4 linked regions of the Arabidopsis thaliana genome follow. Each later gene encodes a partner of the first gene's protein in a complex. Each region holds a gene or a part of one and is shown on either strand. Other genes may lie near its edges. The genes, in order: AT1G06450, AT5G11350, AT3G58560 and AT1G31500.

Evidence for each region.
Region 2: AT1G06450 (region 1) and AT5G11350 share a complex: the UniProt entries of both Arabidopsis thaliana proteins name them as parts of the CCR4-NOT complex.
Region 3: AT1G06450 (region 1) and AT3G58560 share a complex: the UniProt entries of both Arabidopsis thaliana proteins name them as parts of the CCR4-NOT complex.
Region 4: AT1G06450 (region 1) and AT1G31500 share a complex: the UniProt entries of both Arabidopsis thaliana proteins name them as parts of the CCR4-NOT complex.

The regions. Positions count from the first base shown.
Region 1 is NC_003070.9:1,963,849-1,967,764, reverse strand, and holds AT1G06450 (Polynucleotidyl transferase, ribonuclease H-like superfamily protein), read right to left. Parts: upstream 1,926-3,916; 5' UTR 1,842-1,925; coding exon 759-1,841; 3' UTR 546-758; downstream 1-545. Other genes in the region: ACD32.1 (alpha-crystallin domain 32.1), read left to right, coding at 1-162, 421-457; AT1G06440 (Ubiquitin carboxyl-terminal hydrolase family protein), read left to right, coding at 2,860-3,916. UniProt on the Arabidopsis thaliana protein: Ubiquitous transcription factor required for a diverse set of processes. It is a component of the CCR4 complex involved in the control of gene expression.
Region 2 is NC_003076.8:3,619,695-3,625,948, reverse strand, and holds AT5G11350 (DNAse I-like superfamily protein), read right to left. Parts: upstream 4,431-6,254; 5' UTR 4,367-4,430; coding exon 4,265-4,366; intron 4,182-4,264; coding exon 3,740-4,181; exon of another isoform or gene 3,733-3,739; coding exon of another isoform or gene 3,672-3,732; coding exon 3,505-3,671; intron 3,357-3,504; coding exon 3,291-3,356; intron 3,157-3,290; coding exon 3,104-3,156; intron 3,031-3,103; coding exon 2,949-3,030; intron 2,872-2,948; coding exon 2,822-2,871; intron 2,668-2,821; coding exon 2,586-2,667; intron 2,373-2,585; coding exon 2,280-2,372; intron 2,194-2,279; coding exon 2,161-2,193; intron 2,075-2,160; coding exon 1,986-2,074; intron 1,844-1,985; coding exon 1,081-1,843; intron 988-1,080; coding exon 902-987; coding exon of another isoform or gene 895-901; intron 787-894; coding exon 702-786; coding exon of another isoform or gene 675-701; intron 612-674; coding exon 537-611; downstream 1-536. Other genes in the region: AT5G11360 (Interleukin-1 receptor-associated kinase 4 protein), read left to right, coding at 1-113; AT5G11340 (Acyl-CoA N-acyltransferases (NAT) superfamily protein), read right to left, coding at 4,881-5,098, 5,437-5,559. UniProt on the Arabidopsis thaliana protein: Acts as a catalytic component of the CCR4-NOT core complex, which in the nucleus seems to be a general transcription factor, and in the cytoplasm the major mRNA deadenylase involved in mRNA turnover.
Region 3 is NC_003074.8:21,650,022-21,656,143, reverse strand, and holds AT3G58560 (DNAse I-like superfamily protein), read left to right. Parts: upstream 1-1,943; 5' UTR 1,944-2,247; coding exon 2,248-2,405; intron 2,406-2,681; coding exon 2,682-3,420; intron 3,421-3,523; coding exon 3,524-3,610; intron 3,611-3,711; coding exon 3,712-3,795; intron 3,796-3,866; coding exon 3,867-3,953; intron 3,954-4,047; coding exon 4,048-4,134; intron 4,135-4,277; coding exon 4,278-4,331; intron 4,332-4,418; coding exon 4,419-4,510; intron 4,511-4,624; coding exon 4,625-4,739; intron 4,740-4,854; coding exon 4,855-5,002; intron 5,003-5,106; coding exon 5,107-5,264; 3' UTR 5,265-5,579; downstream 5,580-6,122. Other genes in the region: AT3G58550 (Bifunctional inhibitor/lipid-transfer protein/seed storage 2S albumin superfamily protein), read left to right, coding at 5,911-6,122. UniProt on the Arabidopsis thaliana protein: Acts as a catalytic component of the CCR4-NOT core complex, which in the nucleus seems to be a general transcription factor, and in the cytoplasm the major mRNA deadenylase involved in mRNA turnover.
Region 4 is NC_003070.9:11,273,102-11,278,254, reverse strand, and holds AT1G31500 (DNAse I-like superfamily protein), read left to right. Parts: upstream 1-1,626; 5' UTR 1,627-1,720; coding exon 1,721-1,776; exon of another isoform or gene 1,777-1,780; intron 1,781-2,073; coding exon 2,074-2,338; intron 2,339-2,525; coding exon 2,526-2,575; intron 2,576-2,903; coding exon 2,904-2,973; intron 2,974-3,189; coding exon 3,190-3,314; intron 3,315-3,401; coding exon 3,402-3,514; intron 3,515-3,658; coding exon 3,659-3,794; intron 3,795-3,871; coding exon 3,872-4,019; coding exon of another isoform or gene 4,020-4,025; exon of another isoform or gene 4,026-4,128; coding exon 4,129-4,434; 3' UTR 4,435-4,653; downstream 4,654-5,153. Other genes in the region: AT1G31510 (F-box associated ubiquitination effector family protein), read right to left, coding at 47-106, 151-838. UniProt on the Arabidopsis thaliana protein: Acts as a catalytic component of the CCR4-NOT core complex, which in the nucleus seems to be a general transcription factor, and in the cytoplasm the major mRNA deadenylase involved in mRNA turnover.

The sequences.
Region 1 (3,916 bases):
GACTGTGACAGGTAGACGCACATCTATCTGTCAAAAAGTTGATGCAGGCACCAAAGCTTCGATCCTTGGATATCATAAGCAAGAAATACTACAAGGACCATTCAAAGTTTCCTGGCCACTCCCCAGCAATGTGAACAAGGATAATGTTTCCGCTGAATTTATGTAAGTAGAAGCTATACTTACTAACAATCTAACCGTATGATCAAACAACTATTCTCCTTAAATCTTTCAATCCTAGAGTTCATATGATAGATTCTGCCTGTAGGTTTTAGCTAGTAGTGCACACCTAAAAAGTAGTCGTTTTAGAATCCAATTTTACATCTTAGTGCCAGTCAGTCATTAGCTTGAATTAGTTTAGATAGAATTTAGCAAGTTTTATAAAGAGCACTAACATCCAATTTATTATTGCGTTTGAAACAGGGATGGGATTCTGAGAATAGTAATTCCAAAGCTTTGAGGGTTCATCGTTCTGAAACCATATATAGATACGGTAAACATTGTGTGTGATATAGCAGTTTGTGTGGAAAAGAAAAATATCAAATCATGAAGAAAGTTTGGTCTTTTATGTAAAATAGTTTGGTCTTTTATATATCACAGATTGTAGACAGGCATTACTCAAAGTGAAGCCATGTAAACAATCCATAAATATATAAAAATAAAATCTTCATTACTACTACCAAAAGCCAGAAAAGAAAAAGAAAAAAAAAAGAAAAAAGCTCAGAAGCATCTAATCATCCTAAAGCTGGGGAAATCTCAATCTACTCAACTACGTAGCAAGCATTATTGTTGTAATAATTAGGAACTGGTCCAAGATAATCAACAGTAGCAGATGGCGTCTGAGACGGGTATGCAAAAGTGCTTGCAGGTAGATGAGTAAGCTGCACATACGTACCGGTAGCATTACAGAACGCCCATGGGGCACCTGAAGGATCGTAGGAGACAAGCTGAGGCTGCTCATAGTTCTGGACATATCCATTGTGGAACACAGGATATGAAGCTACATTCTGCTGGCACATCAAAGGAAGAGTCGGCTCTGGCACAGGCGCAGGGGCAGGGGCGGCAACGAGGTTGCTTTTCCCAATTCCATAGATCAATCCTCTAGCAAATCTGGAATCTTCATAGACATGTTTAAGCTTGATGAAGACAAGTGCAGTCATTAAGCTGTCTGAACCAGCGTGATGTGCTCTTCCCACACGAGTGATCTGAAGTAGCTGGGCTAGTTTGCTTAACCCGAGGTGTTCACCTAGTCCTTCACAGAATCCAGCCATGACCTTGGTGTCGTAAACTTGACCGAACACTTTGACAACCTCTGTTGCAAACTCGCCGTGAGTCTCTGGTAGCTTGCCATGATTGAGGATACTCAAGAAGTAAGCGAAATCGTAAGCTCCTTGGAAAGTGACGAACTCAACGTGTTTCTGAGAACGAAACACAGTCATAAGCTTAGGGAAAAACCCGTAGCCGAACATATCAACTCCTTCGTCTCTAATCTTCTGCAAATCCAAACCATGCCTCCTCAAGAATTCGATGGAAAGCTCGTTGCGTGTGTCTGATGGGTCGCCGAAATTGGAGAAGTTAATCTCCCAAACACCACCGATCTCTCCCTTGGCGTTGAAAAGAGTGAAACCACACTGGATCAGCTTGGTGTTCTCGACATTACCTTTCATGGCTCTGTAACATTCGTCGCTAGAGGAATCGAAATAAGTGCGGAAAATAATGCCAGGGTACTCTGTATCGAAAGCGATGAGTGGGAATCGCTTGAGACATTCGGCCATACGAGCCATCTCTTCATCGACGTTGCTTCTCCATACTCTCCTCGCCAGCGGTTGATGAATCTCGTTCATGATGATGATTTCTGCAGATAATAAAAATTAGGGTTCTTTTCTTAGGAGGGAGAGGCATGAATACGAGAAGTCTTTTTGGTTTGATTGATTGTGTGAGAGCATTAGGGTTCTTTATAAAAAAAAAGAGAGTATTTATCCTTTTCTTAAATAAATTCGTGTACCTGAGTTTCCTTTTTTCTCGGATTTTTTCTAATTAATTAAAGATACATAGCTTAAGCTAATAGCTTGCTCTCCAATTAATTTTAACGCGGTGTTGATCATGACGGTTTATATTCTCTCTGATTATAATTTTATTTGTTAATTTAATTTCTGTTAAATTTAATTTAGAAATTATCTTCTTCTTTTTTAATTTTCGTTAGGAGTTAGGAAATTCTTGTAGTTATCTTTTACTTTTTGCTACTATATGGTGCTTTTACTCTCTTTTTAACCAATCCACAATTTCCTTTTTCCGTCCCAAAAAGTAAATTACATATAATTAATAGATAATGGCAAAACTTCCAATACAAGTATTAGATTAATATGTAAAATGAGTATCAATTAGTGTTTAAACTTTTGATTTTAAACACTAAGAACTTGAATGGTTATTGTTATTAGATGCTTTGACACTAATTATAGAAATCGCATCATACCATTTTAATTCTTTGTAAGTCAAAAACTTATCCATAACATTAAAATATTTTGTTTTATAAAACTTTATATTTGACAGCATTTATCCTCTCATACCAAAAGTTTATGATATCAAACTAGTATAATTATTTACTAGGCTAAACTATTATTGTATGTGTTTTATTAGTTTAAATAAATTTTATAGCGGTAATTGATTCGCTTATAGATGTGTTTTGGTCTTGGACATGAAAATACAAAGGTCCATATAATTCTTCTACTTCATTTTTTAATTTCGTTTTTTCCCTTAATGCCTGTTAGGTGTTCGATATAATTCCGCAGAGAGTGTGGGTATATACAGCGACGTTGTGGAACGCGGAAACTCAAAATAGCTCCATATACTCTTTGAGATACTATGAGGTTCCTCCTCATGAGATCACTTCTGGTTCACCCATGTGGTGGCTCCATCATCAATGTCCGATCAACGACTACGTCTGCTCAATATGTAGCTTCCAGATCAAGAGACCCTGTTTTCGAGAAGCTCATGGACAAATACAAGAACCTTCTCAAGGTCATTGCCATACAAGACCTTACCCTCGCCAATCCAACAGCTGATCCTCCCTCTCTATCCATTGAGTTTCTCTCCAGGCTCTCCCAGAAGCTCCACCTTAATCGTGGCGCTGCTTCTTTCCTGCGAAAGTATCCTCACATCTTTCATGTCTTGTATGATCCTGTGAAAGCTGAGCCCTTTTGCAGGTTAACTGATGTAGCCATGGAGATTTCTCGCCAAGAGGCTTTGGCTATCACTGCTACTTTGTCTCTTGTTGTTGACCGGTTGGTTAGGCTCTTGTCTATGTCCATATCAAAGTCCATTCCGCTTCGTGCGGTTTTTAAGGTTTGGAGAGAACTTGGGCTCCCAGATGATTTTGAGGACTCTGTGATCTCAAAGAACCCTCATCTTTTTAAGCTTAGTGATGGTCATGAATCCAACACCCATATCTTAGAGCTGGTTCAGGAAGAAGAGAAAAGACTGGAATTTGAGGCCGCGGTTGAGAAATGGAGGGTGGTTGAGTGTTCTAAGGAGGATTGCAGTGTCGATAGAACCGAGATTCAGTTTAGTTTCAAACATAGTTACCCACCAGGAATGAGACTGAGCAAGACATTTAAGGCTAAAGTTAAGGAATGGCAGAGGCTGCCTTACGTAGGGCCATACGAGGACATGGTTGGTAAGAAGAAGAGTAGATCCGGTGTGATGGGAATAGAGAAAAGAGCGGTTGCGATTGCTCACGAGTTCCTGAATCTGACTGTAGAGAAGATGGTGGAGGTAGAAAAGATCAGCCATTTCAGAAAATGTTTTGGGATTGATTTGAACATAAGAGATTTGTTCTTGGATCACCCGGGCATGTTTTATGTGTCAACTAAAGGGAAAAGACACACTGTCTTTCTCAGAGAGGCTTATGAAAGAGGACGTT
Region 2 (6,254 bases), on another chromosome or scaffold:
CCACAAAGATTGTCACACTCATCCAAAGATGCACCAATCGGGACAAGAAGAAACGACCATTGATGCAAGAAGTTTTGGATGCTCTGAATTATATTGCAGGGATTAGGTCCTAATGTGAGATGTCCTTATATTGGACACAGGGACATGGATAAATGCTAGGTGTTTATTTGTAATAATTGAAAGAGTCAGTCTAGACTAAAGCTGAAAGAGTTAGGGGTTAACAATTGAAGCTATTTAAAATCAAGAAGCATGCTTTAAACTTTTATAGCAGATTTTCTGAAATCGAGTGTCGCCCAAAAAGAAAAACTCAAATATAATTTGTCACTGTAAAATATGATAGAGAAAAATACAAAACTAGAGCCTATGAGATTCTGTAAAAGTTTACTCTTAGATGTTTTGCTGGGATATAAAATAAGCTATTGGCGACCTTCAGAGCACAAACATTGCAACAAGGATGTGCTTTGAACCCAAGACCTCAACCATCTAATCTCTTTACACTTTCTTAGATTTCTAATGAACTCACCACCAGTTTAATATCAGCTTTTGGGCAGAGTTTTGCTGCTGCAGAAGGCCAACTCTGAAACCAGTGCAATGTGATCGCTTCCCCATTTCTGTAACAAACCAGAAATACAAACATAAAAAAGTTTTGTAAACAATTCAGTTAAAAAGGTAGGCTATATAAGAATATCATGGGATTTTACAGGAGTCGGGAAGCCTGGAGTCCACTGCATTGCTTGCTTTGGTATTGGAGCAAGCACACGCACTGTTTGAAGACCTTCCGACCGCCTAACCCAAACCAGAAATCAAACATGAGAATATGTCAAAACGCGCATAATTTACAATAATGAAGTAATCTAATTTTAAGGTTTGTCACAAATGGTTTTGCTTCTAATGCTAATACCATATGTAGTCAACTGTCCCCATGAAACATCTGTGATAACTGGTCACTACAGGTTCTCCGTTTTCATCCCTTGTGTTTGCTTGACCCTAACCACAAATTTCAACAGCTTCCTAAGGATATAATTTCTCAAGAAACAGAAGATAAAAGGGAAAAACTGTAGGGAGGATATATTACAATACCTCCACTTCTGAGTATGTGCTTTTAAGCTCCAGAGCATGTTCAACCGTAGTTCTCTCTGGGTCACCAGTTGCAGTTGCTATCTCCATTGGAGTCCAAGAGGATGGACTATAAGTGATTTTGTCACTATTTAAAGCTTCAGAACTCCATTTAAGTGGAACTTCACTCACAAGTTCCCCTTTTTGACTCAAGTTTTCATTGTTATCGTGTAGCTTAGCCAAAAAGGTTTCCCCATCTTCACCTAAACTTTCTTCATCTTGCGCGAATACTACTGGTTCGTCCAATTTTAAGCCATCTAGTTTCATTTCAGCCACAAAAGTGTCAACCTTGGTGGAGAGACTAGATGAAATATCTTGATCACTGGAACATATTTCCTCAGGAGTTTGCTCTGTTTCTGATAAACCGGAACTTACAGAACGATCTGTATTCAAATCTTCTCTAGCACTGGAAGCATGTTGAGGTTCTGTATCTGATATGGTTAGTGAAGAAAGATCTTCAGCTGTCGAGAGATTCCCGGAATCATCAGGTTTTCTGTTTTCTATTCCAAACTGACAATCTGAGGCCATATTCTCGCATGGTAATACTTGGTCAGAGCTGGAGGTGGCTTCGTGACCAGCAAGAATTGTATCACCACATGGAAGCTCAGATGTCTTCTCGGAGGGGGCCGTTCCAACATCTATGTTGGAGTTATTCTCCATATGAGCATTTGTGATCAAATTTGGTGGTTGAACTTGACCTTGTGGAGATTTGTTGGCGGACTGATACCTGGAAAATTGAGGAGGCCTATCAACCATGCTGACAATTGCAAAAGCAGAGTAGAACCCGATATTCTAGGGTAGACATGGAGGTGTTAAGTTGCATAACCATATACTTAATGATGTCGAAGAACTTGGTGAGTTTGCTCTACCTCGTTGTATAATTTTCTGGCCTTGGTGGACGAAACTCAGCAGAAACTTGCCCCGAAACTTTGTCTCTGGCCAAACCAGACAAATCCAACTGCAGAGAGCAGCACAAGACACAATGTGAACCATATATATAATGTTGCGAATAGGTGAAGGACTTTCCTAACAATGAAGCTTTACCTTCCGGTCTGAAATAAAGTTGTACAAAGGACTCTGCAACCAGGTGGAAGAATGTTATGACCATGTCACAAAACAAGTTTTTTGGGGTATACAAACTGGTTAAGGTAAGATTGTCCTACCTTTGGTGTACAATTGAAATCCCCACAAAGAACAATAGGCGCATCATCCCAGAGTTTTGAAACAGCATGAGCTTTATCTAAGAGTGTTCTGACCTACGTAACAGAGATAAATACATAGATGATAAATGGAAACAGTTAAAGAAACCAAGTTAAGCAAGGGGCGAAGCGTTTGGTTTCAAAAGTTTTATCTCAAACACCTAACACTTATACATGTTCATAGCGTATAGACAGAGTTAAACCAGAGAGTAAAACTGTCGTTTGGCAAAAGATTTCTACAAACTAGAATATGGCATTAAAGGAAAGTACCTGACCAAGTTTAAAGTCTCCTCTTTTAGGATTAAAAAGCACGTGAATGTTACAAATGACAACTCGATGGGAACCAGCAGAGCTGTAAAAGAAATTGGTAATTCACTTCAACCCACCCACAAAGTATAGTCCATACAGAAAACCACTGAAATCTGAAGAAAATCGGCCACTTCCTAGTGAAATTATCCACCCATAAAATGATATGATAGTAACATTTACAGATACTTTTAAGTTACCTTTCAGGTGGAGGGGTCTCATTTTCTTTTGTATGTGAAGTCAACAATGTCTACACAGAGCAAATTTAATTTAGGGCAAAGAGGCAAATGTATATAAGTCACTATCAACATAAGGTATCCATATTACCTCAAGCACACATATTTGAGCAACGTTATCTCGGAGACCAAGTTGATTGAACTGGATGCTTTCCTCGTGAACCAACTTGAATCTAATATGATAACAATGAAATCCTAAACAAGATTCCAGACTGATCCACACAAGGAAGAGCAAGGGAATCAAACCTATTGGATCGCCAAAATATTGCACATCCGTCAACAGCATTACCAGTCCGCATCTACAGTTTTATAAAATAGAGTTAACCCCACATTTGAAGCCTAGTTCTTATGATGCATACCATTTAATCTTTACTCCAAGAGAGTCCGTAGAGAATACAAACTCAAGACAACTAAAAGTTTTCAACAAACCTACCTTCCAAATAGCACTATATCCCCGGTGCTTCATCTCCTCCTCTAAGTCCTGAAATTTATCAACTTCCTGACATATACAAAATAATTTTAGATTACTATACATATGGAAGATACATTCTGTATACATATGATAAAAAAATAGTAAAGCAAGAAAGTTTTGTCTCCTTAGTCCCTCATACAAGCAATTACCAAGAAGATATAGCAGAAACTATAACCTGAAGGCACATTATATCTGCAGACCATAGGCTAAGCTCGAACACTAATTTGCTCTTTCTCCATCCCCAACTCAACATATTCCTCGGTATGTGAAAGTAAAGACTTCTCCAGTGATCATTTGCAAGGTAATCCGCCAATATATTATACGATAAAACAACAAACTTTTCTGTAGACAAGAGAAAGCAAATCAAAAATTGTATACCGGAGCAAATGAGATGGTCACGCATAAATTACCGGAGCCAGGAGACGGTGGCGTTTTGGCATATTCCCATTCACGGTAATCTGAAGGTTTTGACCGTGGCCGTTGACGAAAGCTCTGCTGTGGAGGCGGCCGGGACATCTGGTTTTGATAGAACGGAGGGGGAGGGCAAGCCGCGTAGTTTTGATTAGACGGAAACTGATTAGGTTGACGGAATTGTTGCCACTGACCTCGTGACGGCGGCGGAGGTCGAAATTCGTAATTCTGATTGAACGGTGGTTGCTGCCGCTGATCAAGCGGAGGCTGATGTTGTCGATAAGGTTCACCATGCCGGAATCGGAAATTGGCGTCATGAACTGATTGAAAATGAGAATCTCCAGTAACGAACTGATCTCTTCCCGCGTCATCATTGTACGGACGATCGGAGAAACTTCTCCCACCTCGGCCTCGTCCTCGTCCTCGGGCACCTCTGTACTGCTTCGTAAGAAACAAATTATATTCCAGTAACCGAAGCAACGCAGCGGGAGTGATAGAACAAGAGAATAGCTGAGAAAATTTACCGGAGCACGAGTAGACATGGTGAAGATTGGAGCAGAGATAGTGGAGGCGTCAGCGAAGGTAACGTCGGAGAAAACTTGAGCAACAAAACGAGAACGCCGCATTGGTCAATCGAATTGAGTGAGGAAGCTCGAGGAACCGGTGCTTAATTGCAGACACCGATGAACGGAGACTCATAAGACGTGCCGTTTTTTGATTCAAGAAGAACACATCTTCCAGTCTTCACTGTGAATAAATGGCACGCAAGCCAAAACGCAAGTCATAAATTCTTCATTTTTTTCTTTACTTTATTCTACAGCTCATAACAAGAATCATTGTCTCTCTTTACTCAAATTCATAGACCAACATTTACAAACACGATGATACTTGGTAGTAAAGCTTTGAGTTGCAAAGTTAAAAACTTTTCCAAACGAAAATGTCCAAAGCCAAGAGGACATTAGAGAAATCATGCAAGTATATAACCAGGAATTTATAAATTTAGAATCAGTAAGAAAAATTAAGGTCAACAAAACAAGCAAAACTCGGAAACCGAAGGATCATCATAACATTAATAGATCTTGAACTGAATGCAACAAAGAAACTGGGGAGGAATGGCTTCCCCAAGTTTGGTATTTTTCATCATTTGTTGGCTTCAGATTGAGCAAAGGACTTGCTGACAACGTAGCAATCTCTTGGCTCAATGTTGATGTAATAGTTTTGTATGGTATCTGTGATCTCAAAGCCGAACTTCTTGTAGAACTTGATTGCGTCTTCGTTGTTTGTCTGCACATGCAAGTATATCTCACACATGTTTTGCTTGGAGCACATGTCAAGAACATGATTCAATAGATTTGAGCCTGCAAAAGACGAAAAAAACAAGATACACAAATTATAGACATCGAGTTTTTCTTTCTAAAGCAGGGAATTCGATCTTAAATCTTGATATAGGAGGAATCATAATTCCAGTTTCTCGGTAAAACAACGATATGCATAAAACCCTAAGGACTATTTCTTGGTGGTTTGAATCTCTAAATGGAGACACTTCAAATAGAGAACTACAGAATAAACATACTACAGCTGGCCTCATGTGTTAAAACGTAAGGAAAACAACAGAATTACACAACATGCTAACAGTTTTCTTCATTATTCATGTTTTGTCGGTATTCAAGTTTTGCACAGCAGATTTATGACTTACCAATGCCAATCCCACGGTAGGGTGCAAGAACACCAAGCGTCATTATATAAACTCGCATGGCCCCACTTTCTTTCTTCTCCAGCCGACAGGCGATAGCTCCAACACATATGTCATTGTAATATGCTGAGAGGAAGTCAATCCATTATTAGAACATGAAGAATTTTCCTTGATCACAAATTAGAGAAAATATATGTAACACCAAGAACATAACTACCCAAGCAACTGCAATGAAATAGTTAGTACCAAATTTAAGACGTTGTTAACAGTCTTTAGACTTTCATAATCACATCTTATTGTACATTTAAAGAACTAGTTGACGCAAAAGATGTTCCAACCAAGGGTTTCACAAAAGTGAGCTTGAAAAAATTCTGTGAATACGAAAATTAGTCTTGGACCATGTTCTCGAAAGATAATATAAGTCAATCAGCGATAGATTACAAGGTACACATGCTTAACATACAAAAAATTTTGCTTGGTTGAACAAAAGAATGCAGTATTCATATAGTCAAACAACTTAAAACAACGATCAAGATGATACTTTGTCAACATCAATGTCATCAACCACAAAGTTCAAACATGAATCGGTAATTACGAAACAACAGACAATAGAAAGCAAACAAAATCGATCCATTCAAGGCTTAGAAAGAAGGCTTCTACCAATATTACCGATAAAATCATCTTCTTCCTAGTATCAGACACTAGTACTGAACCTAAATAAAACATGGCTCAGTCAAATAAATTCACGGAACCGAACAAAAGAGAAGACACAGATAATCACACCTATTACAATGACCAGTGAACCAACTAAACAAACAACC
Region 3 (6,122 bases), on another chromosome or scaffold:
TATATTATCTGTCTCTACCTAATTTGAATATTACAATGAAAATTTGTAAAAAATAAAATATTTTTGACATCATACATATATTTCAAAAAAATATTGTCAGCTAACTCAACAATTGGCCACAAATGCAAGTAAACTAAAAAACATACAACTACTTAACATATATGGATTGTATGATTATACAAGTCGTCAACATCATAAACATATAATCTCGGGTTAAATGGTCGACCAACTCCAGCGTTGATCAGCATTGACCAACAAAATATTCAAAACTAATTATTAGTATTAAAAAAATTAATGTTATTTGATATTGTAAAATACAAAAAAATATATTTATATCCAATATAAATATATTTTGTATATATATATAATGCATTAATTCATATAATATTTACTTTATTTTTTCAATTTCAAAACTAAACTAAGAGAATAAATATTTTTTTAAGATATGAACTATTCATAATAATAATAATAATAGTTAGTTTCTTAAGAAGTTAAATTTTTAATTGCTAAATATTTTTAATCAATAGTTAGTTTTTTCTTATATTATTCGTAAAAAACATTTACTTTGAATTTAAAAATTACCGTGCAAAATTTAGACTAAAAAGTTATATACTCAATTGTTTTTCATATTACTTTCTTATGAAACTTATATAGTCATGTGTATTTGGTTCTGTAATGATTTATTTTCTAATGAATAAAGAAGTTTATATATTTTAATTGATAATACAAAAAAAAGATTCTTTCACTCATATGTTTCTAATAAGATTTTTCTGGTTTTAATTTCAGTTTTTTTTTTGTTTTAAAAATTTTAATCATTTTTTTCATTTTTAGTTTAGTTTTGAAATTAAAAAAAGCTAAATATTTTAAGAATCAATGTATTAAATATATATGCAAAATATTTTTATAGTAGATGTAAAAATTGTTTTTTGATTATAGAATAACTAGTAAAACTAGATTTTTAATATTAAAAATAAAGTAAAAATTTATTTTTGAATATTTTTGTTGGTTAACACCGGTTGACGTTAGAGTTAATTGGTTATTTAACATGAAATTTTATATTTATAATGTTAACTATATAATATTATATACTTGGTTATGCAATCTATATACATCATTTAATTAAGTGTTATTTAGTTTAGTTGACATATATAGTTTGTACTGTATTATATTTTCCGTAAGTTTCAATCTTTTTTATTATAAATAGGTGAATATATGTGTATATAGAAAAAAGAGTATTAAAGACTTTTTGTTTCCCTTTGGAAAATAAAATAAAATAAAAATACGAGTCCATATTTGGTCTTGAACGAGACTTGCGTTCATTCCTAGGGGGATGAACCTCTTTGTTCACCTCCTTTTGCATTAACTAATAAAAATATGTCATGTCAAATCCTATTTAAATTACATAATAAATTGAAGCTATAATTATAATCCAAACCGATATATAATTTCGTTTAATTACAAAATCTAAACCCTAATTCTTCTTTGTAAATCCAAACCGCCATTTAAACTCATTTAGTCGTAAAAAAACTAAACCCTAATCGTATTTTCTAAACCCAAACCGACATTTAACCTTGTTTAATTGTTAAATCTAAACCTGTTAATAAATCTAAACCAATATTTAACCCGTTTAATCATAAAATCTAAACCTTAATCGTACTTTCTAAACCAAAACCGATATTTAATCTCGTTTAATCATAAAATCTAAACCCTAATCGTATTTTCTAAACCCAAATCAATATTTAACCTTGTTTAATTGTAAAATCTAAACCATGATTTTTTCAAATAAACTCAAATCGATATATAATTTTGTTTTTGAGGCAAATTAGATTTTATAATTAAATTAAACTTTTATTATTATTATTAGGTTTTAAATTTTAATGGGCTAAAACAGTGAATATAGAACCCAAGTATTTTTCTTTGGTCTTTGTCCATCTTTGGAAATTAATTTAGTCGTAGCGAACAAATCTATCCCACTCATTGGATTTCAATTTCATAAATTTTAGGTTGTAAAATTCGGGTTTGGAGAAAATTGGGGGTAAATCTAGGGTTCTGGGAAAATTAGGGTTCTGGGAAAATTAGGGTTCATCCATGCTGTCGAGTTTTAGGGTCAAGTAAATGACGGATCCATTAGGATCCGTTTTATATCTTATGCTCTCTCGTCTCAATATATATATTTAAAAATCTCAGCCTTTGGGCTTCGTTAGTGTTGGTTTGCTTTCAGAATTTAACTTAGTTACGGTAAAAGCAATGCTTAGCGTTATACGAGTGCATCTACCGTCGGAGATTCCTATTGTTGGCTGCGAACTTACACCTTACGTACTTCTCCGGCGGCCTGATAAGACCCCCTCCACCGATGATGTGCCTGAGTCAGCCCCGCTTGAAGGTCACTTCTTAAAGTACAGATGGTAAGTCATGCCTGTGGCTTCCTTTTACTCTTAAATCTGCTCCCTTTTACTAGCTTTTGCTCGAGTTTGTTATGGACGACTTTTTTTTACCGAAAGTTTGAGACTTTTCTGTGAATTCCCGGGTATGATTTGTTTAAGTGTTTCTTAGTCAGTTCAAGTCTTTGTTCGTTTGCAAATTTGAGTGTGAAAAATGATTTCTTTAATTGTAAAGTAGGGTTTATAAGTCTCCAGTCTTGTCTTTTGGTTCTGTATTAAAAGATGCATCATCTGTTGCAGGTTTCGAGTACAGAGTGATAAGAAAGTTGCGATTTGTAGTGTGCATCCATCCGAGACGGCAACATTGCAGTGTCTGGGATGTCTAAAGTCTAAAGTTCCTGTTGCCAAAAGCTACCATTGCTCTACTAAGTGCTTTTCGGATGCGTGGCAACATCACCGTGTGTTGCATGAGCGTGCTGCCAGTGCTGCTACAGAAGGAAATGATGAAGAAGAGTTGCCCCGTTTGAATAGCTCAGGGTCTGGATCTGGTGTTCTCAGCACCAGTGTTAGTTTAACGAATGGGTCATCATCAGTTTATCCTTCAGCCATAACTCAAAAGACCGGCGCCGGAGGAGAAACACTTGTTGAGGTTGGACGCTCTAAGACATACACACCAATGGCTGATGATATTTGCCATGTTTTGAAGTTTGAATGTGTAGTAGTCAATGCAGAGACAAAACAGAATGTGGGCCTTTCTTGTACCATATTGACTTCCCGTGTTATCCCAGCTCCATCACCTTCTCCGCGTAGGCTGATCTCTATTAGTGGAACTGATGTTACTGGGCACCTGGATTCTAATGGGCGGCCTTTGTCTATGGGAACATTCACTGTGCTGTCCTACAATATATTGTCTGATACATATGCTAGCAGCGACATATACAGTTACTGCCCCACATGGGCTCTCGCTTGGACATACCGTAGACAGAATTTGTTACGGGAAATTGTCAAGTACCGTGCAGATATAGTTTGTCTACAAGAGGTATGTTAAATATTTATGGCACAAGTTGTACTGACTTGGAAACGTTTCAATTGCTAGTTAATGGATAAATACCTCTCCAATATTTTCGTTTTTCATCTTGCAGGTACAGAATGATCATTTTGAGGAGTTTTTTCTTCCTGAGCTGGATAAACACGGATACCAAGGTCTTTTTAAGAGGAAAACAAATGAGGTTTGCTTCAACGCATCCCCTTGATCTTCCATTACCTTTTCGTGGTCACTTATCTGCAAGATGTACCAACCAGAAAATATTGATTCACTGGATAATTTTAGGTTTTCATCGGTAATACAAACACAATTGATGGGTGCGCTACTTTCTTCAGAAGAGACAGGTTCTCACATGTAAAAAAATATGAGGTATGTCTTAGTTTTCTCCTGTTACCTATCTAATTAGGCCCATTTGCTAAATCATTGGGCTGCTCATCCAGGTTGAGTTCAACAAGGCTGCACAGTCTTTGACTGAGGCTATTATCCCTGTTTCCCAGAAGAAAAATGCTTTGAATCGGTTGGTCAAGGTACTCTGAGATGCTCTATAGTATGATTTCTGTTTTCCGCACATTCTTGGTGATATTTTTTCATGTAAAACTGATTTAGAGTCTTTCTTTTTAGGATAATGTTGCTTTAATAGTTGTACTGGAAGCAAAATTCGGTAGCCAGGCTGCTGACAATCCTGGGAAGCGCCAGCTACTTTGTGTGGTAAGTTGTCCATCTTTTCAATATTGTTCTTTATTGTCAGAGATGATGCTAGAGTTGAAGTTATGTGTTTCCACTTCCTCTTCTCCTTTAAAGGTCTCGAGGTGATCATGTTTTCTCTCTTTTCATGTATTTGATGGGTGCAGGCTAACACGCATGTAAACGTTCCTCATGAATTGAAAGATGTAAAGCTGTGGCAGGTTGGTCTTTATTTCTCATTGTAAAAGAACTCTCAGATTTCGGATTCTTACATCACTATTGATCCATAATGATTCTTGCCCAAATAGGTTCACACATTATTGAAGGGACTGGAGAAAATAGCTGCCAGTGCAGATATTCCAATGCTTGTGTGTGGAGATTTCAACACAGTACCTGCGAGGTCTGGCTGGTTTTCCTATTTGTTATGCCCAAGTAGCAATTGTCAAACTCTATATTAAATTATGATTGTGGTTTCTACCTGAATTAACTTGGAGTTCCTTCTTAATATTTTCAGTGCTCCTCATACACTTCTTGCTGTGGGAAAGGTCGATCCATTGCACCCAGATTTGATGGTTGATCCTCTTGGAATTTTACGTCCTCACAGCAAGCTTACTCATCAGCTGCCACTGGTAATTATCTTTCCCAAAAATGGAAAACAGATGCACAGAATCGTGAAAGGCAGACTTCAATTTTAATTAGAATGGCAACATATGCGTAGACATCATACCTTTGTGACCATTGCAGGTTAGTGCCTACTCACAATTTGCAAAAATGGGAGGCAACGTTATTACTGAGCAGCAACGTAGAAGACTGGATCCTGCATCAAGTGAACCGTTGTTTACCAACTGTACCAGGGACTTTATAGGCACACTTGATTACATATTTTACACAGGTTAACTTAAGTGCTTACTTTCAGGGGTTTTACGCGCCAGTGTTTGCTTTCATCTCAGATTTCTTTTTCATCTGGTAAGCAATTTGCTTTTTGTTTTGTTTCAGCGGACACGCTAACAGTGGAATCGTTGTTGGAACTGTTGGATGAAGAGTCCTTGAGGAAGGACACAGCTCTTCCATCTCCAGAATGGTCTTCTGATCACATTGCACTTTTGGCTGAATTTCGCTGCATGCCCAGGGCCAGACGAAACAATATTTTATAGAGATACTGCAGCTGTAATAACCCGATACCAAAGACTGGTTCCAATGGATATGGTTAAGCTACATGAAGTAGATAGCATGGCCATGTCCCTGGGGTTTCTCCCGCTGGGTTTTTCGCTTGCGTTCTACTCTGTATCACAGTTTTATTTACTGCTTGGTTCGCTTGGCTTTTCTTTCTATAGTTATTTCCTCTTTGCCAGAAAGTTTTGTCTTCACTGGCTTGTGATTGTAACAATGTAAACAATTAGATTCTTCAAGAAAATAGTGACTTCACCTTTTCCATATTAAAATCTGTGTCTTCTATGGTTGCAATCCTCCTTACACTCTTAACCCTACAGCTTAACCATCAATTTTCTAGTCTCTTCACTTGTAGATATCTTGCAGATACTGTGAAAACGAACTGTGAACAACTTGATATATTTTATATGTACCCCTCCAATAACTGAAGATGATCCAAATTCCAAAACTCAAATTTCAATTCAGAAATTAGACATGTTAACCAGTACTCATTATATAATCCTTTTAAATCAAGTTTCTTGCAGACTTAGAACTCTCGAGTATCCCTATAACTAGAGAGGGAAACATATGTGAACAAGAAACAAGTCTTATAAAAAGCCACATTAAGTTCTTACTCTGCTGCATTAACTGATGGCTAGATTCATGGCTTACAATCAAAATCCACAAATGTTGGCTCTATGCATAACAGTAGCAGTAATGTTCCTTGGTGTGAGATCAGAATTGAGTCAGGATATAAAGGGATGTCAGGATGCGATGTCTGATCTCTACTCTTGTCTTCCTTTTGTCACTAACAAAGCTAAAGCACCAGACTCAACATGTTGCAGCACACTCAAGGTAAAAAT
Region 4 (5,153 bases), 9.3 Mb from region 1:
CTAATTGACCTAGTTACAAAGTGACGAATATATAGCAGAATCTTACCATTGTTCTCAATGAAGTGACTTGGATATATTGGAAACTTGGGAAGTTGAGCTATAGAAACTGTCATTAACCTACTCCAATGCTTCTTCATCAGTATATCTTACCTGCTAAGTGCGGTTCACGTAACAAAGAAAGATGATCTCCACGGAAAATCCCTAAAGAAAGAGAATCTTTCCACTGGATCCCGATGGATGAGTGATGAAGAGACTCGAACAAGGTCTCAAATCTCTCTTTTGAGAAATCGAAACTTTGTATCGAAACGGTACCGTAGATATTATAACCTATCCAATAAGGAGTTCCTCCTATACACACACTTGACAATGGTAGTCGAAAGAACCCATGGAAGGTTTTATCAACAACAACAACCTTCCAACAATCAGATTTGAAATCGTAGATTTCAACACTTAAATTATTAGGACACCGAAACCTAACCATTTTGTAATCATTACAACCACTTGGTGACTCGTTACTAATGTATCCAAGACCATATGCATCGATGGAATGGTCAAACTCAAAGCTATAGCCACATTTGATCCATCTTGCTTCTTTCAACAACGGATTGGAAACTAAAATTTTGGTTCCCATGACCATTAGCAATAGACCATCACAATGAAACATGTTGTGCTCCAATAAATCCGAAGATGAAAGCGGTTTAAAAACCTGAAAATTTAAACTAGGTTTGTTGTTGAAATCCATACCGATACAAGAAATTGTTGAGCACAATGGAGAAACTGTGGCCGGAACGTAATTGAAGACTGTGAATATCGGTTCAAGACCATGCATGTGAGACATGTGCTTGTTGACGAATATCGGTTCTGTGATTAGTGTTTTCCATTGCTTGCATGTCCTCTACCAAATTAGTTTGTAGTATGTCCTTTACCAAATTAGTTTGTAGTATTATATTTGGGTTTGTTATTTTCAATTTAGGGTATATATTTTTATTATTAAAAACTTTTTTGATTCAATTTAATATTAGATTAATGTTTGCTCTCATTTTTATTTGGGGGATTGATACAAATAGTAATAAAAAAAACTTTATTATTTAATTAATTTATAGAGGATTAAAAATTTTATATGCTATTTTGGAAATTTCAAAAAAAAGGTGTCATTTTTTGGAATAATAAAGTTTTTTAGTGTCATTTACGTCAATCCCCTTGTTATATTAATATTGGTGTGAAGCTTTTTGGGAAATATATCTATAATTTCTCATCTTATAAAGTTTTATGCTCAAGTGAGTGTTAGTATGGAAATTTTTAATTCGCAATAGTGTATATTGGTCCGTAATGGTGAATTAGTTAAATATCGATTAATTAGATTTTAGTCTGGTACACAACCATTTATAGACTAAATATCTGACAGTAAATGATTTAGAAACTCATACTAACTTATATAGTTATATATATAGGTGCTTTGGGAATTTTTGAAAATTTTGGGTTTTGGATTTTGACGTTGATTTCGATTGGATTTTTATTTGTTGGAAAGTAAATGAACCTACTAATGACCTATTTTTGGTTCTAAAGTTCCAATAAATAAAATGAAGGCTCACTAACTACTTTAATATAAAGACAGGGAGCAAATGATAATTATCGAATTCTTCACTATTTTATTTGAAAACCCACAAGAGTTTCTTCAATCTAAAGCCAAATTGGGTTAAGTCAATTGTTGTCACTATAGATGTTTAGTTCTACAACTCTGCATCATCTTCCTCGTCCGAATCTTCTTCTTCCCAGGTGGGTTTCTTCGTTTCTGTATCAATCAATATACAGTTTCATTTTCTGTAATCTCAAGTTTCGTATTTAGTAATGCAACTAAATTGATCGTCTCTGTTCATTGTCATTGGGCAATTTCGTTGAGGAATACAATTTGTTTAGAAATTTCTCATCTTTATATTGGAACCAATCCTCTAGAATCTCGAATTTATCTGGGCTGTAATTGAAATTTTATGGGGAATTAAATCAGCTTCTTAATTTTGACCTAAATATTGATGTTCAAGGATTGTTTTTTTTCCTGACCCTTTGATTCAACAGCTCTCGTGTCTGCAGGAAAGTTATTTCGAGAAGAATGAGTACGAATCCTGCAATTGAACCAAAAGTTCGCAAATTTGAATCTGTTGAAGGAGTTGATATTGGTTCAAGAAATAAATCCGATGGTTTTTTTGCTATTCCTCTTTACTTATCAAAGCTTGTGGCTTTATATAACTGTATAAGTTTAAGTAGAATTGGTACTAGTAATGAGAATTTTGTGTTTTCAGGTATCAGATTCCGTCTTGTTTCATATAACATATTAGCTCAGGTAAGAAATAATCAAGCTTTTTAATCTCTCATATGCTTTGTGATATTTTGTAGCTTAATATTTGGACGAATTTTGTAGTTTTAAACGATCTTACGAATTTCTGAGCTTGATTTATAGATACAGACAGTTCTTTTAGCTCTTTCCTTTGTTGAGTTTCTTATCTATTTGAGCTTTATATTTCTTGTAGGTTTATGTGAAGAGTGCACTTCTCCCACACTCTCCACCTGCCTGTCTCAAGTAATTATTTTTCTCTACATTTCTCAGTTTCGAGATCAAATTTACTTATACTAGTCAAGAGTTCTTTCTGTGAGTTGTGTAATCAATGGCCTGGAGTATAGTCAAGATTTGCTTCAGAAAACAACAATGGATTCTATGAATGTTTAGGAACTTAGCTATAAGCAGGCAATATTGTGTTTGGTCTTACCCACGTTAATTATCCATTACCCAATATGTACTTTGGATTTAGCGATATATTAACTTTGTTAAAATATTAGGGAATGGTGCTTCTTAAAGGGTTATGGTTTTGTAGTAAATGTGACTTGGTCTTCCTTTTCTTGTGTTGCAGATGGAAAGCTCGTTCACATGCAATTCTCAGCGTTCTCAAAAATCTCCAGGCTGATTTCTTTTGTCTGCAGGTACTTTATTCTTGTGAAAACTTCTTCTTTTGTGTTTAGGTAGTATTGAGATACCCTTTTCGTATGAAACACAAAATTCATTCTTCTCTTTTGTTCAATCCATTAGACAAGCTCAGGCCTGTAAAAATGTTAGTGTTGTTTGTTCATAGGGCCTTTGAATTGTGTTTAACAAAAGGGTGTCTCCACTTGTTAGTTATATAGTTGCAATGCTCGCAGGAAGTAGATGAGTACGATAGCTTTTACAGAAATAACATGGACTCTCTGGGATATTCTGGGATTTATATTCAGAGAACCGGCCAGAGGAAGCGTGATGGTTGTGCAATCTTCTACAAGCCAAGCTGGTATGATAAAAACATTAAGCCTGACAAGACGTTAACTTAATGCAAAAACATCAATCTGATTGAAACAACACTCTTCTTTTGATTTAGTGCAGAGTTAGTCACAAAGGAACGGATCGAATATAATGATCTTGTGGACTCAATAAAAGCAGATAGTGTTTCCTGCAGCGAACAGAAGATTGAGACATCCAACGAAGGAAAAGGTGATGAGAAAGCGAAAGATAAATTTGTCCTTTTGGAGGAAAAGAAAGCAAATACTTTGTGCTGTTTCTTTATATCTCAACATCATTACTAACTTTTATCTATGTTCTCTTCACATGTTTCCACAAATCTGCCCCAAACAAAAGATTCTCGAAAAGACAGTCGTGACCTTAATGATCCACTAGTGAGACTAAAACGTGATTGCGTTGGAATAATGGCTGCTTTTAGGATCAACAAGCCGTTTCAGCATATCGTTATCGTGGCAAACACACATCTTTACTGGTAAAAATACTTGTCACCGATTGAAGATTATCTTTTACCACCCTTTAAACTTTCATCTCATGTTTACTTATCTCTAGGGACCCTGAATTGGCTGATGTCAAGCTTGCTCAAGCCAAGTATCTACTGTCACGACTAGCTCAGTTCAAAACACTAATATCAGATGAATTTGAGTGCACACCTTCATTGCTACTAGCTGGCGACTTCAATTCAATTCCTGGGGATATGGTTTGATTCAGTTTCTTACATTGAGTTTCCCTAATTGTTCAATCTATTTGCAAAATCAAAAGATTGGGTTTACGGTGGTAAAATCCTGATACTTGTCGTCGTTTTCCAGGTTTATAGTTACCTAGTATCGGGTAATGCTAAACCCACAGAGACCATAGAAGAAGAAGAAGCTCCAGTTCCTCTGTCTAGTGTCTATGAAGTCACAAGAGGAGAGCCTAAGTTCACAAATTGCACTCCTGGCTTCACAAACACACTTGACTACATCTTCATCTCTCCTTCAGACTTCATTAAACCTGTGAGTATCCTTCAACTACCTGAGCCGGATTCTCCAGATGTTGTCGGTTTCTTACCGAATCATCATCACCCGAGTGATCATTTACCTATAGGAGCTGAGTTTGAGATTCGTCGGGAATAGGAAGTTTCGTTCTTTAGAAAGTTTTGTCGCATAACTCCATTGTTTCAGCATTTGAATATGGTTCTTGTAGAAATCATGAAGCAGTGAATCATACACACACAACACAAAGTATTAAAGGACTTGGATCATTTTTGTCTCAATAAACTCGAAATTTTCGTTGTGTGCATTGAATTACTGAGAATATTTGAATTTTCTTGAGAAGAAATTGTTTAATGTGTCTTGTTTATTGCACTCATAAAATAACATAAGAATTGGTTCTATTATTCTGTAGTCAACTAGACAAAAACAATAGAAGATTTAGTGAAATGACATGTTAATATCATATGATGATCTCGTTTCAATTTGTTGAATAAAGTTGCAACAAAATTAGGTCAAGCATTGATCTGTTTTATCTATCAACCACTAAAGTTTGTACTATCGCACCAACTTATAATAATAAATCATAATTTTGAGTACGAACGAATATTCTTTTACAGTCTCACCTTTCACCGATAATTTGAACCATTGTTATTGAATAAAGTCGTACTCTTCAAACTTTTATCCAAAATGACAGTGATGTAATGTTATGTTCCAAAAACATAAGATTTTTTCAAAACGGATAGTGATCATTCCTTTGAATATATAATCACAAACAACCGAACAAAAATATTATATTTTCTATGCTTATTATATGTTCTTATAAATAAATATCATTTAGCATAAGCTTCCCTTGAGAACCT